3 linked regions of the Macaca fascicularis genome follow. The protein of the gene in region 1 purifies or fractionates together with the protein of each later gene. This does not show direct contact. Links are inferred from orthologs where the notes say so. Each region holds a gene or a part of one and is shown in the gene's direction. Other genes may lie near its edges. The genes, in order: TRIM21, IRF3 and MAVS.

Region 1 (3,747 bases):
GGGATTATTATGTTAGGTAAAATAAACCAAGCACAGGCAAACAAACAAACAGTTATGTTCTCACTTGTTTGTGGAAGCTAAAAATTAAAACAATTGAATTCATTAAGATAGAGAGGATGATGGTTACCAAAGTCTGGGAAGGGTAGTGGGGCAAGGGTGCAGGGGATGATTAATGGGTTCAAAAATACATGACATAGAATGAATAAGATCTAGTGTTTTATAGCATAACAAGATGAATAGAGTCAATAATTTATCATTTTAAAATAACTAAAAGCATGTAATTGGATTGTATATAACACAAATGATAAATGCTTGAGGTGATGGACAGATACCCCACTTACCCTGATGTGATTATTACGGATTGTATGCTCTACCTGCATCAAAATATCTCATGTACCCCATAAATATATACACCTACTATAGACACACAAAATTGAAAATTAAAAAATTACTTTGGTAAATTTTATATTCTGTATGTTTTACGATTAAAAATAAAAATAATATAACCTGAGAATGTCCCTAGCTCAGTGACAAGAACACAGTTGATTGTCAAATGTCAATTCCCTTCTCACCACTCACTGGTGGGACACTTACCTTGGGGTCATGTGAAATAAATCACTCACCTGCAAGTGTTAAAAAAATATTAGTCACATCAGTCACATGAAAATAATTAGCTTCTGGAAGTAAGCAGATGGTGGCACGCGAGGAAGAGCACCGGCCACTCCTCTGCATCAGAAACTTCCTTAAAAGCAGCTTCCAGACATGCACATAGCATCTAGGTGTGGGGTGATGACCAGTGTCAAAGAAAGTAGCCCGGACTCCCCCGTCATGTAGATATTTTACCAAACCGGATAATGAAGACATGGGAGGGAGCGCGCACCCAGGACCACGGGCTACTGAGTTTCCACTCCTTACCAGTCTCAGAGAAGCCCCCTGGGCGTCCAGAGCCTCTGAAGCCTCCCCCAGTCCAACTCTGACTTCTCTCCTCTCACCTCTCTACCTTCTCTCCTCCCACCTCTCTTGCTTCTCATCAGCATTTCTCCACACAAGGCTTTCAAGGCTCTGCTCCTCCCACTGCTCCTCCCTCACTCCTCCCACTCTCCTCCTCCTCCCTCCCCTTTCCTCTCAGACTTGCCTCTGAGCGGAAACTGAAAGTGAAATAGGGAGCTGGCTACCAGCGTTGAGTCCCCTGTAAAGGTGAGTGAACCCCACTAGATCAAGGGACCCCTGCCCTCCTAGGGGACCTCTCTCCCCTGCCCCAGGGTTGCCCAGCCCCTTCAATCAGTCTCCATCCTTGAGCCGGTCCCATTTGCCCCTTCTCGCACCAGGGATCCCTCAACCCAAGACCAGCTGTGCTTCCGGCGCTGGCCCCCTACCTGGGAGGAGGCTGGGGTGTGGACATGACTGCCGAGTTACCCAGAAGGGGAAGGGACCCGGCTGCCCCCTTCCTGGGAGGAGGCTGGGTTGTGGACGTGACTGCCGAGTTACCCAGAAGGGGAAGGGGCCCGGCTGCCCCGATGCTGGCACGTGACCTGGGATGAAGGCTGGGTGCGGCTGGGAGAGCCAGGACTACAGCCTAGCCAGGACGGGTAGGGAGCTCATGTCGGGGAGGTCTGCAATTCTGGAGATTCCCAGGTCCAAAAGTCCTCCAGAGGTGAGAGGGGAAGGCTGTTTAGGATGTTCAACCAGAAATGTATTCAAAATTATTCTTTGCCCTAGAATAAGTGTTGTCAGGAACTAAACTAAGTTTGGAGCAGCTGAGAAAAGAGCCCAGGGAGTGCTGGCCACAGTTCCTGTTGCTCTGTGTGTATACATACATATACACATGCTTGTGTATATACGTATACACCTACATACCTATATACACCTGACATCTGCCGTTATAGGAAGTATTAATGAAGATATATTCAAAGCATGAAGTATGTCTGGCACATGGAAGGTACATGGTAAAAAGTAGCTATAATTTCTCAGCAGCATGGAGGCCTGTTGGTACCAGACAGGAGATGAATGAGCACTGAGGGTTTAAGCAGGAATGGACATGATGAGAGTAGAACTGTCAACAGCTTTATGAGGTTCTTGCCAATTTTCACTCCCTCTTTTAGGGACTTAGTGTCTCCTTCTGTCTCACTGGATCAATGGACCAACAATGGAGGAGTTCTTGTTATTCAGAACAAGAATAAACTTACTCAACAAACTATTTGATCGGTGTAAAAGTAATTACTGTTTTTGACATTAATTGTTTTGCCATTAATTTTATGCCTTTTATTTATTTATTTATTTATTTATTGAGAGGAAGTCTCACTCTGTTGCCCAGGCTGGAGTGCAATGGCAGAATCTCGGCTCACTGTAACCTCTGCCTCCCAGGTTTAAGCAATTCTGCTGCCTCAGCCTCCTGAGTAGCTGGGATTACAAGCGCCCACCACCACTCCCAGCTAATTTTTGTATCTTTCGTAGAGACGGAGTTTTACCATATTGGTCAGGCTGGTCTTGAACTGAACTCCTGACCTAAGGTGATCCACCCACCTCAGCCTCCCAAAGTGCTGGGGTTGCAGGTATGAGCCGCCGTGCCTGACTCATTATTTTTATTTTTCTTTTTTATTTTCCTTTGTGTCATTTTGTTTTTCTTCTTTTTTTAGTTTATTTTTAACTTTTGTGGGCACATAGTAGGTATATTTATGGGGTATATGGAATATTTTGATACAGGTATACTATGTGTCATAATCACATCCGGGTAAATAGGGCATCCATCACCTCAAGCATTGATCATCTGTGATACAAACTATGCAATTATACTCTTAGTTTTCAGTGTACAATTAAATTATTGACTATAGTCACTCTATCGTGCTATCAAATACTAGATCTAATTCACTCCACTTTTGTACTCATTAACCATCCCACCTTCCCCAACACACACACACCCTCCCTGCTACTCTTCCCAGCCTCTGGTAACCATCTTTCTATTTTATCTAACTCCATGAGTTCAATTGTTTTAATTTTTAGCTTCTACAAATGAGTGAGAACATACAATGTTTGTCTTTTGGTGCCTAGCTTATTTCACTTAACATAATGACCTCCAGTTCCATTCATGTTGTTGTGAATGACAGGATCTCATTATATTTTATGACTGAATAGTACTCCATTGTGCATATGTACCACATTTTCTTTATCCATTTATCTGTTGATGGACACTTAGATTGCTTCCAAATCTTGGCTATTGTGAAACATGCTGCCGTAAACGTGGGAATGTAGATATCTCTTTGATATACTGATTTCCTTTCTTTGGGGTATATACTAGCAGTGGGATTGCTGGATCATATGGTAGCCCTATTTTCAGTTTTTTGAAGAACCTCCAAACTGTTCCCTGTAGTGATTGTACTAATTTACCTTCCTACCAATAGCGCGTGAGTGTACCCTTTTCTCCACACCCTCCCCAGCATTTGTTATAGCCTGTCTTTTGGATAAAAGGCATTTTAACTGAGATGAGATTATATCTCATTGTAGTTTTGATTTGCATTTTTCCGATAATGATGTTGAACAACTGTTCATATGCCTGTTTGTCATTTGTGTGTCTTCTTTTGAGAAATGTCTATTCAGATCTTTTGTCCATTTTTGAATCAGATTATTATTTTTTTTCCTATAGAGTGGTTTGAGTTCCTTATATATTCTGGTTATTCACCTTTTGTCAGATGGATAGTTTGCAAATTTTTACTCCAATTCTGTGGGTTGTCTCTTCACTTTGTGGATTGT
Region 2 (3,747 bases), on another chromosome or scaffold:
GGGGAAGAGGACTTCAGAGAGTGACCCCACCAAAGATCCCCTGCAAGCAGGCTCTTTCCCCAACTCCCTCCCTCCCCCGCTGAGGACCTCTCTCCAAAACAGAGAATAGAGCCAGATATAAAGAGAGGAGACAGACTGAGACCAGGAGCAAGAGTTAGGAGGGAGCCTCAAATGCTGGCCCCTGGGGGAGAAGGGCAACTCCTCTTACCTGAGTGGAGTTGGAACAGGAGACCCGGCAGCCTCACCACGCCTAAGGAAGGCAGCTAGGACCCTCAGCGTGTCTTCCCGGAGCCCCAGCTCTTCAGAGCCTGCCATGGAGGCACCTGTGAGAGAGGGGACTAGGGACTGGACTCCAAGGGGTTAGCAAGAAGTGGAGGCTTGGTTGGGGACCAGGACTTGTGAGTCCCAAGGAAGGCCTGGACTCCTGGGTCATTTGGAAAGTGTCGGTCTAGGGGCCTAGACTCTTGAGTCCTCAGACGAAAGAGGGGTCAGGAAAGACTCTTTGATCCAAGGAAAGGTGGGGGGGCTGGGTGCCCAGATTCGTGGGTCTAAAGGAGGAGGGAGATGGGGTCTAGACTCCTGAGTCTTAGAGAGAAAGGAACTGGAGCCCCAGACCCTTAGGTCTCCCAGGAAGAAGGGGCTTAGCGCCCCAACTCCTGGATTCTATAAGAGGCATATGCCAAACTACTGAAACCCTTAAAGCATCGGGAACTACCAATCCCAGGAGGCTTCAGGGCAAATCTTCCCCTCGGTCCGCGCTTCTTCGCCGCGCAGCCTGCTGTGAGGTGTAGTTCCAAATCCCCGACTCCTGCTGGAATCTAGAGGACCCTGGACCCTTGGATGTCGGAGAAGCGGGACTGGGGTGCCCACTACTGGATCCTGGCCCGCTCCTCTTCCCTCCTTACCCCACCCCTCGTCAACACCCCGCTGACCTGGTCCGGGGCCTCACCGCCGCCTCCTCCACTCAACCTGCCGCCGCCTCCACTCAACTTGTACAAACTTTATTAGTTCAACTTTCCCGCGCCTGCGCACTGGGCCGGGTCGGTAACTGGCCCAACGAAGAAAGGGCGGAACGCTGGATGCACGCTCAATTTGCATGTGACGCTCCCAGCATGCCTCTGGCCGGAAACCCAAAAAAGGGCATAGGGGCGGGGACAGCCCCGGGCCCCGCGGGCCGTCCGTTCGGCTCCGGGGTGTGTTACCCAAAGAATGATAAAGTTGGTTTTATTTCAAGAAGTCGATCGAAAAGAAAGCCTCAGCGTCTAGAGTTCAGCTGACGGGAAAGGGGGTGCGCAGCCCCGACTTTGAGAGCTATCCGGAGCCCCAAAACAGGGGTGGGCGCCAGCTCCCTGCACGCCCTGAGCTTCTATCGTAGGTAACGCGGAAGAGCCTGGGAGAGCGTTAGTGGCGTCCGAGAGCGAGGAGCGGGAAACAGGATGGGTCTGCACGGAGAGTGGAAAGGCAGGCTGTGTACTCTGGGGAAAGTGGAGCAAGGAAGGAGCTACAGTGGCCGACGCTGGAGGTCGGCTGGAGAAAAACTAGAAAAAGTAGGGAGGAAAGAGGAAAACAGGAGGCGTCTACACTGAGGGGTTCTACAGAGGGAAGGATGGACTCCGTACATGGGTGTAGTTCACTCCCGAAACCTGAGGCGTGCTCTGTCCTGGAGGAGGGGGGCTGGCAGTCGAGGAGGAATTGGATGGAAGTTCTGTGTTGGAAATGTTTCGGGGGATCTTCTGTAGGGGGACTGGGGAAGGGGATCTACACTGGGGTAAATGCAGGAGATAGAGGCTTACACGTGAATCGATTCTGCACTGAAATAACTAGGGAAAGAGGATGCTACCCTGAAAGTGGGGATACTTGCTTTCGATGATGTCGGGGAGAGAGGAGGTCTATACTGGCGGAATTGAGAGAGTGGAGGGTCTGCACTGAAGACACTGGGGAAGGGTATGCCATGGATATGGGAAGGAACCCTAGCGGATTAAGGAGCCTCTCGGGAAGATGGGAGGATGGGAAGAGGAGGTTTCCTGTTTGTACCCCCGAAAATATGGGTGAAGGACCTGTGCCGTGGCCCGTGAGAGGGAGGGTTCTGGGTGCGGAAACTCCAGGCCAGGTGGGTCCGGGGGAGGCCGGTCGCGCCCAGAAAATGCCCTATACGCGCAGGCCGGACCATGGGAACCCCAAAGCCACGGATCCTGCCCTGGCTGGTGTCGCAGCTGGACCTGGGGCAACTGGAGGGCGTGGCCTGGGTGAACGAGAGCCGCACGCGCTTCCGCATCCCTTGGAAGCACGGCCTACGGCAGGATGCACAGGAGGAGGATTTCAGAATCTTCCAGGTGCGTGAGACGACCGGGGACGCTGGAAACCCTGAGCTGCGCGCGGGGCAGAAAGGACTCCTAGCGGGCCGGGCTGAGACGGCGGAGGTATCGCCCGAGGGGCTGGCTCGTGCCAACGTTGGTGGGTGGGGCTAGAACGGGAGGGGCGGGGCTAGCCGGATCAGCTGACTGATGGTGGGACGCAAGCAGGGTTGGAGCTGCCCGGTTACGGCAATAAAACCGGGAAAGCCGGTTAGTACGCAAAGGAAATGAATCCTGGGGTTTTGGGGCTCTCTAGGGGCCGGGGCTCTTGGTTGTAGGATAGATACTGGGGGATGGTTTTTGAAACATCAGAGGTGAGACCTGGAGCCCCAAATCTGGGGTTCCTAACCACTGAATTAGTATATGCCAGAGGTGGTAAACAGTGTGAGGGGCGGGGTTATCACAGAGGGTGTCGCGGGGCAGGTGGTGCACGGGGTTAGACACCAAGTTGGACTTGGAAGCCTGGCTTAGAAAGAAGAGTTTTTTGGGCCGGGCGCCGTGGTTCACACCTGTAATCCCAGCACTTTGGGAGGCCGAGGCGGGCTATCACCTGAGGTCAGGAGTTTGACACCAGCCTGGCCAACATGGTGAAAATACAAAATCATTGGTGAAAATACAAAATTATCTACTAAAAATACAAAACTTAGCCAGGTGCGGTGGTGCCCGCCTGTAATGCCAGCTACTCAGGAGGCTGAGACAGGAGAATTGCTTGAACCAGGGAGGCGGAAGTTGCAGTGAGCTGAGATTGCGCCATTGCATTCCAGCCTGGGTGACAAGAGTGAAACTCCATCTCAAAAAGAAAAAAAGGCTTTTAAAAACTCGAGGTGGGGGATGGAGGTAGATAGGACGGGGGGATTTGGGGATGGAACTTGCAGACTTAGAACTTGCCAGGGAAAGAGGGTGGTGTTAGGATCCAGGAGACAGGGTTAGGGCCCCAGGAGCAGGATCTAAGTCGTCCTCCCCCACTATCCTGACACCACTGTTGCCCCAGGCCTGGGCCGAGGCCACTGGTGCGTACGTTCCCGGGAGGGATAAGCCAGACCTGCCAACCTGGAAGAGGAATTTCCGTTCTGCCCTCAACCGCAAAGATGGGTTGTGTTTAGCAGAGGACCGGAGCAAGGACCCTCACGACCCACATAAGATCTACGAGTTTGTGAACTCAGGTCTGCCAGATCGGGGTTCATGTGGGAGGCTGGGGTCCCAAGGGTTCCTGGCACCCCTACTCCCCTCACCACCTTTCTCAACAGGAGTTGGGGACTTTTCCCAGCCAGACTCCTCTCCGGACACCAATGGCGGAGGCAGTACTTCTGATACCCAGGTGAGAATGTGCCCAACCTTCATGCCCCTCAGTCTCTGTCGTGTCCCCATGGGCCTTGTCCTCTCCCTGTGGACC
Region 3 (3,747 bases), on another chromosome or scaffold:
AGCCGGGCGTGGTGGTGGGCGCCTGTAGTCCCAGCTATTGAGGGGGGGGGGCTGAGGCAGGAGAACCCGGCAGGCGGAGCTTGCAGTGAGCTGAGATCGCGCCACTGCACTCCCGCCTGGGAGACAGAAAGAGACCCCGTCTCGGGGGTGGGGAGGGGGGAAGTATTAGATATGAAGCTGCTAGAGCCCGGTGGGGAGCAGGCAGGCTTGATTCTTGAACTAATCCACATTTATGCCCTCTTGGCTAAACTAGGCAGAGCTGGTTTTATTACAGTTCAGGTGTGATTAAGCATACTTTGTAAATGCTGAAGGTTGTGAAATATTCACAGGGATATAAAGTACAGTAATAAAATCTCACTTGAGGCCGGGCGTGGTGGCGACAGAGGGAGACTCTGTCTCAAAAAAAAAAAAAAAAAAAAAAAAAAAAAAATAGAAGGCCCTGTGCCTGGAAGGCAGTAAGTGCTCAATAAGTGTTGGCCTCTGCCCCAGAAGAGGAAGGGCGAGACAGATGGCAGGAACTGCGGGAGGTACCTGTCCCAGGCCCTTGGGCGTAAGAGGCCTCTCCCACGCAGGACCCAACCCATACCCAGCCTGCCAGCCAGCCAACCTCGGCGTCCCTGCCTTGCAACTACCTGCCCGGCAGTCCCCCGCCCGCTCCCACTCCCACAGGCCCAGCATGCGCGTCTCTAGGCTATGCATCCTTGCCCCTGTGACTTCAGCGTCACCCAACGTTTATTGGGCACTAACTGTATGCCTGGCCATGGGGATGCAGGAGAGAAAGACACGAAGACCCTCACCCATCAAAACTACCGGCGGAAGGAGGGGCTGTTTCACTTGGGAAGCGTGGGGATGGAATTCTCAGCCCCCTGAGGACTTCGAGGCCGGCCGCCTGCCTGGTTTCTGGCCGGACACTGGACTTCCCCTGGAAGTTGCTCGAGACTACGCGCCCTCAGCAGAAAATCAGGTCGGTTCTCGGTGCCCAGCCTAGCGCTTCTCGACCAGCAAACCAAGGCCCAGTGCCCGCCCCCGCCGCGCCGCGGCCTGCGCCGCCAGCCAACCACGCGCGGCCGAGTAGCCCTGCCCCTCCACGTGACCAATAGCCGCGCGCCCTGCCCGCCCCGCCCCCTCGCCGAGGGAGGGGTCTTGGGCCCCGGGCGGCGGTCGCCAGGTCTCAGGGTCGGGGCTACTCGAGGTAAGATCGCTGCCCGGGCGATGGGTCCTCTCGGCTCAGCACGCACGGACGCCTTTAGGGAAGGTGGCTGCAGCGGCAGTACCGAGTCCGCCGGGACGCCCTGGGTCTGGGGCCGCGGGGGCCCAGGAGGGGACAGGGCGCGCGGGGCTCCGGAAGAGTCGGCCCTGTGGCGCACGGGGTTCGGGAACATTGAGGGCTCCAGGCGCCGCATCCAGCATCCAGGGAAAAGGGGGTGGGTCGCGCTGGGCGTCTGCTCCGGCTAGGGGAAAAGTAGGGCTAGAAGGGGACGGGCAGCGGCCGCTGACCTCTTCCTGCCGCCCGCGGGCCCAGGGTGACGCTAAGTTGGGGCGGAGCCTCGACTAGTTGCGCCTTGAGGTCGAGTGCTGCTGCCCTCCCCTGGGTCCGGACAGTTCTTGGCGGCGACACCAGCTCAGAACAGCCTCCCCGCCCTCAGCGGACCTGGGTCTCGCCCAGGAATCCGATCCGAGGCTGTGAGGCCTGTGCCTTTGGTGGGGGTGGGTATTTATTTCCGGGATGCACTCAGAGCCTCTGGACAATCAGGTCGGAAACTTTGCTGCATCGGGAACACTCTGTCACCTCCTTCCTTCTCAGATGGGAAGGAGGTGCCAGGAAAACAATGAAACAAACCAAAAACACGAAAAAGGCATTCTCTGTATGGAAGCCGTGAAGCCTCAAAAATATCTAGGAGGACAGCCAGCGACCTGGGGCCTGTGGCAGCCATGTGAGGGCAGGGTTAATGTTTGTACTAAATGTTGCTTCCTCCCAAGTGCACCCTCAGCCTCCCCTCCACCAAGTGACCTTGGGTCCTCTTTGGGCTTGAAGGCAGGTGACTGTGTGGGTCTCTCTTGCTGCAGGGGTCTCTGTGCCCTGCAAGGTTTATGACTGGCTACAGTGAGGCAGCAGTTTCTGGGTTCAAATCCTGTGCTAGCCTTTGGCCAGCTGTGCACCTTGGCATCACTTTCCCTGTCACGGGATTGGGGAAGGTTTAACTGAAAGAACCTTAGGATGTGCCTGTCTGCAGTGCGCCCTCCATAAATGTGAACAAATGTGGGCTTCCTTTCCTTTTGGTTGGGCCACATCGTCCCTTCTCCTCCATCTGTGGCTTAGGCTGGAATGCAGAAGAGTGCTTCATCTGACTGCCTCCTGGTACCTGGCTGATGCCATGAGAAAGGAAGGAGAAAGGAGTCTTTTTTTTTTTTTTTTTTGAAATGGAGTCTCACTCTCTTGCCCAGGCTGGAGCGCAGCGGCCCAATCTGGGCTCACTGCAACCTCCGCCTCCTGGGTTTAGAGATTCTCATGCCTTAGCTTCCCAAGTAGCAGGGATTACAGGTGTCTGATACCATGCCTGGCTAATTTTTGCATTTTTAGTAGAGACTGGGTTTCACCATGTTGGCCAGGCTGGTCTCAAACTCCTGACCTCAAGTGATCTGCCCGCCTTGGCCTCCCAAAATGCTGGAATTGCAGGCATGAGCCACCATGCCTGGCCGAGAAAGGAGTCTGTTAACTCCCACAGAGTTGTTCTTTGCTTATTTCTTGAAGGCTCAGAGGACCCCCACCTCACCTTCCTGACTCTCCCGACCTGTCATTAGTACTTGCCCCAGGAGGAATGCAGCAGCGCCTGGTGGTTGGCAAAGCAAGTCGTGCATGTGAGGTTCTGAGGCCAGTGACAAGACTGTTTCCCCTGTGAGGAGGGTCTGGTGGCCCAGCAGCTTTTAGATGCTGTCTGCTTGCAGCACTGCCTCCTGAGAGAGGTTTCATGCCTGCCTGATGCCCATTTGGTCCTCTCCTGTCTCCTTCCCTCCCTGACAACCCACTTGGAATCCAATAGCATCTCAAGCTTCACTTGTTCAGACCTGAGTTCTGGAGTTCCTTCTGAGCCACTGCTCCTCCCCTGGCTTCTTTGGCTTGGTAAAAGGGCACCTTCCATCCATCCAGTGCCCAAGGAGTCATCCTTCTTTTCTCTCCCTTATCTCCTACACCCTCAAAACACCAGGAATCTGGCTGCCTCCTTCCATCTCTGTGGTTCCCATCCTGACCATAATCATCCTGTCTCCTGGGCTGTGGCCTCCTGACTGGTCTCCCAGTTTTCATCCTGGCCCCTCCAAAGTCCTCACAACCACCAGAGAAGTCTTTAACGCAAATCAGATCCTCTTCTTTCCCTGCCAGAACCTTCCAGTGGTTCCCTGTTTCACACCAACTAAAACCCAGAGTCCTTTCTTATAGCACTCTACATGAGTGGCCCCTGCCACCTCCTTGACCTTGACAATCTCTGCCCCTTTCCCTAGCTTGCTTGCTTGCTTTTTTTTTTTTGATGGAGTTTTGCTCTTGTCACCCAGGCTGGAGTGCAATGGGCACGATTTCGGCTCACTGCAACCTCTGCCTCCTGGGTTCAAGCAGTTCTCCTGCCTCAGCCTCCTGAGTAGCTGGGATTACAGGCACCCACCACTATGCTAATTTTTGTATTTTTATTTTATTTTTTTTTATTTTTATTTTTATTTATTTATTTATTTATTTATTTTTTGAGACGGAGTCTC

Evidence for each region.
Region 2: the proteins of TRIM21 (region 1) and IRF3 purify together in Homo sapiens (affinity purification with western blotting; 3 studies listed by BioGRID, with this or other methods). This does not show direct contact. The link is inferred for Macaca fascicularis from reciprocal best matches to the Homo sapiens genes TRIM21 and IRF3.
Region 3: the proteins of TRIM21 (region 1) and MAVS purify together in Homo sapiens (affinity purification with western blotting; 3 studies listed by BioGRID). This does not show direct contact. The link is inferred for Macaca fascicularis from reciprocal best matches to the Homo sapiens genes TRIM21 and MAVS.

Annotation. Positions count from the first base shown.
Region 1 is NC_088388.1:70,002,787-70,006,533, forward strand, and holds the start of TRIM21 (E3 ubiquitin-protein ligase TRIM21), read left to right. Parts: upstream 1-1,150; 5' UTR 1,151-1,197; intron 1,198-3,747. UniProt on the Homo sapiens protein: E3 ubiquitin-protein ligase whose activity is dependent on E2 enzymes, UBE2D1, UBE2D2, UBE2E1 and UBE2E2.
Region 2 is NC_088393.1:57,636,902-57,640,648, reverse strand, and holds the start of IRF3 (interferon regulatory factor 3), read left to right. Parts: upstream 1-1,142; 5' UTR 1,143-1,371; exon of another isoform or gene 1,372-1,375; intron 1,376-1,824; 5' UTR 1,825-1,944; intron 1,945-2,160; 5' UTR 2,161-2,168; coding exon 2,169-2,420; exon of another isoform or gene 2,421-2,504; coding exon of another isoform or gene 2,505-2,564; intron 2,565-3,345; coding exon 3,346-3,517; intron 3,518-3,601; coding exon 3,602-3,672; intron 3,673-3,747. Other genes in the region: BCL2L12 (bcl-2-like protein 12), read right to left, coding at 209-315.
Region 3 is NC_088384.1:83,440,314-83,444,060, reverse strand, and holds the start of MAVS (mitochondrial antiviral-signaling protein), read left to right. Parts: upstream 1-1,132; 5' UTR 1,133-1,192; intron 1,193-3,747.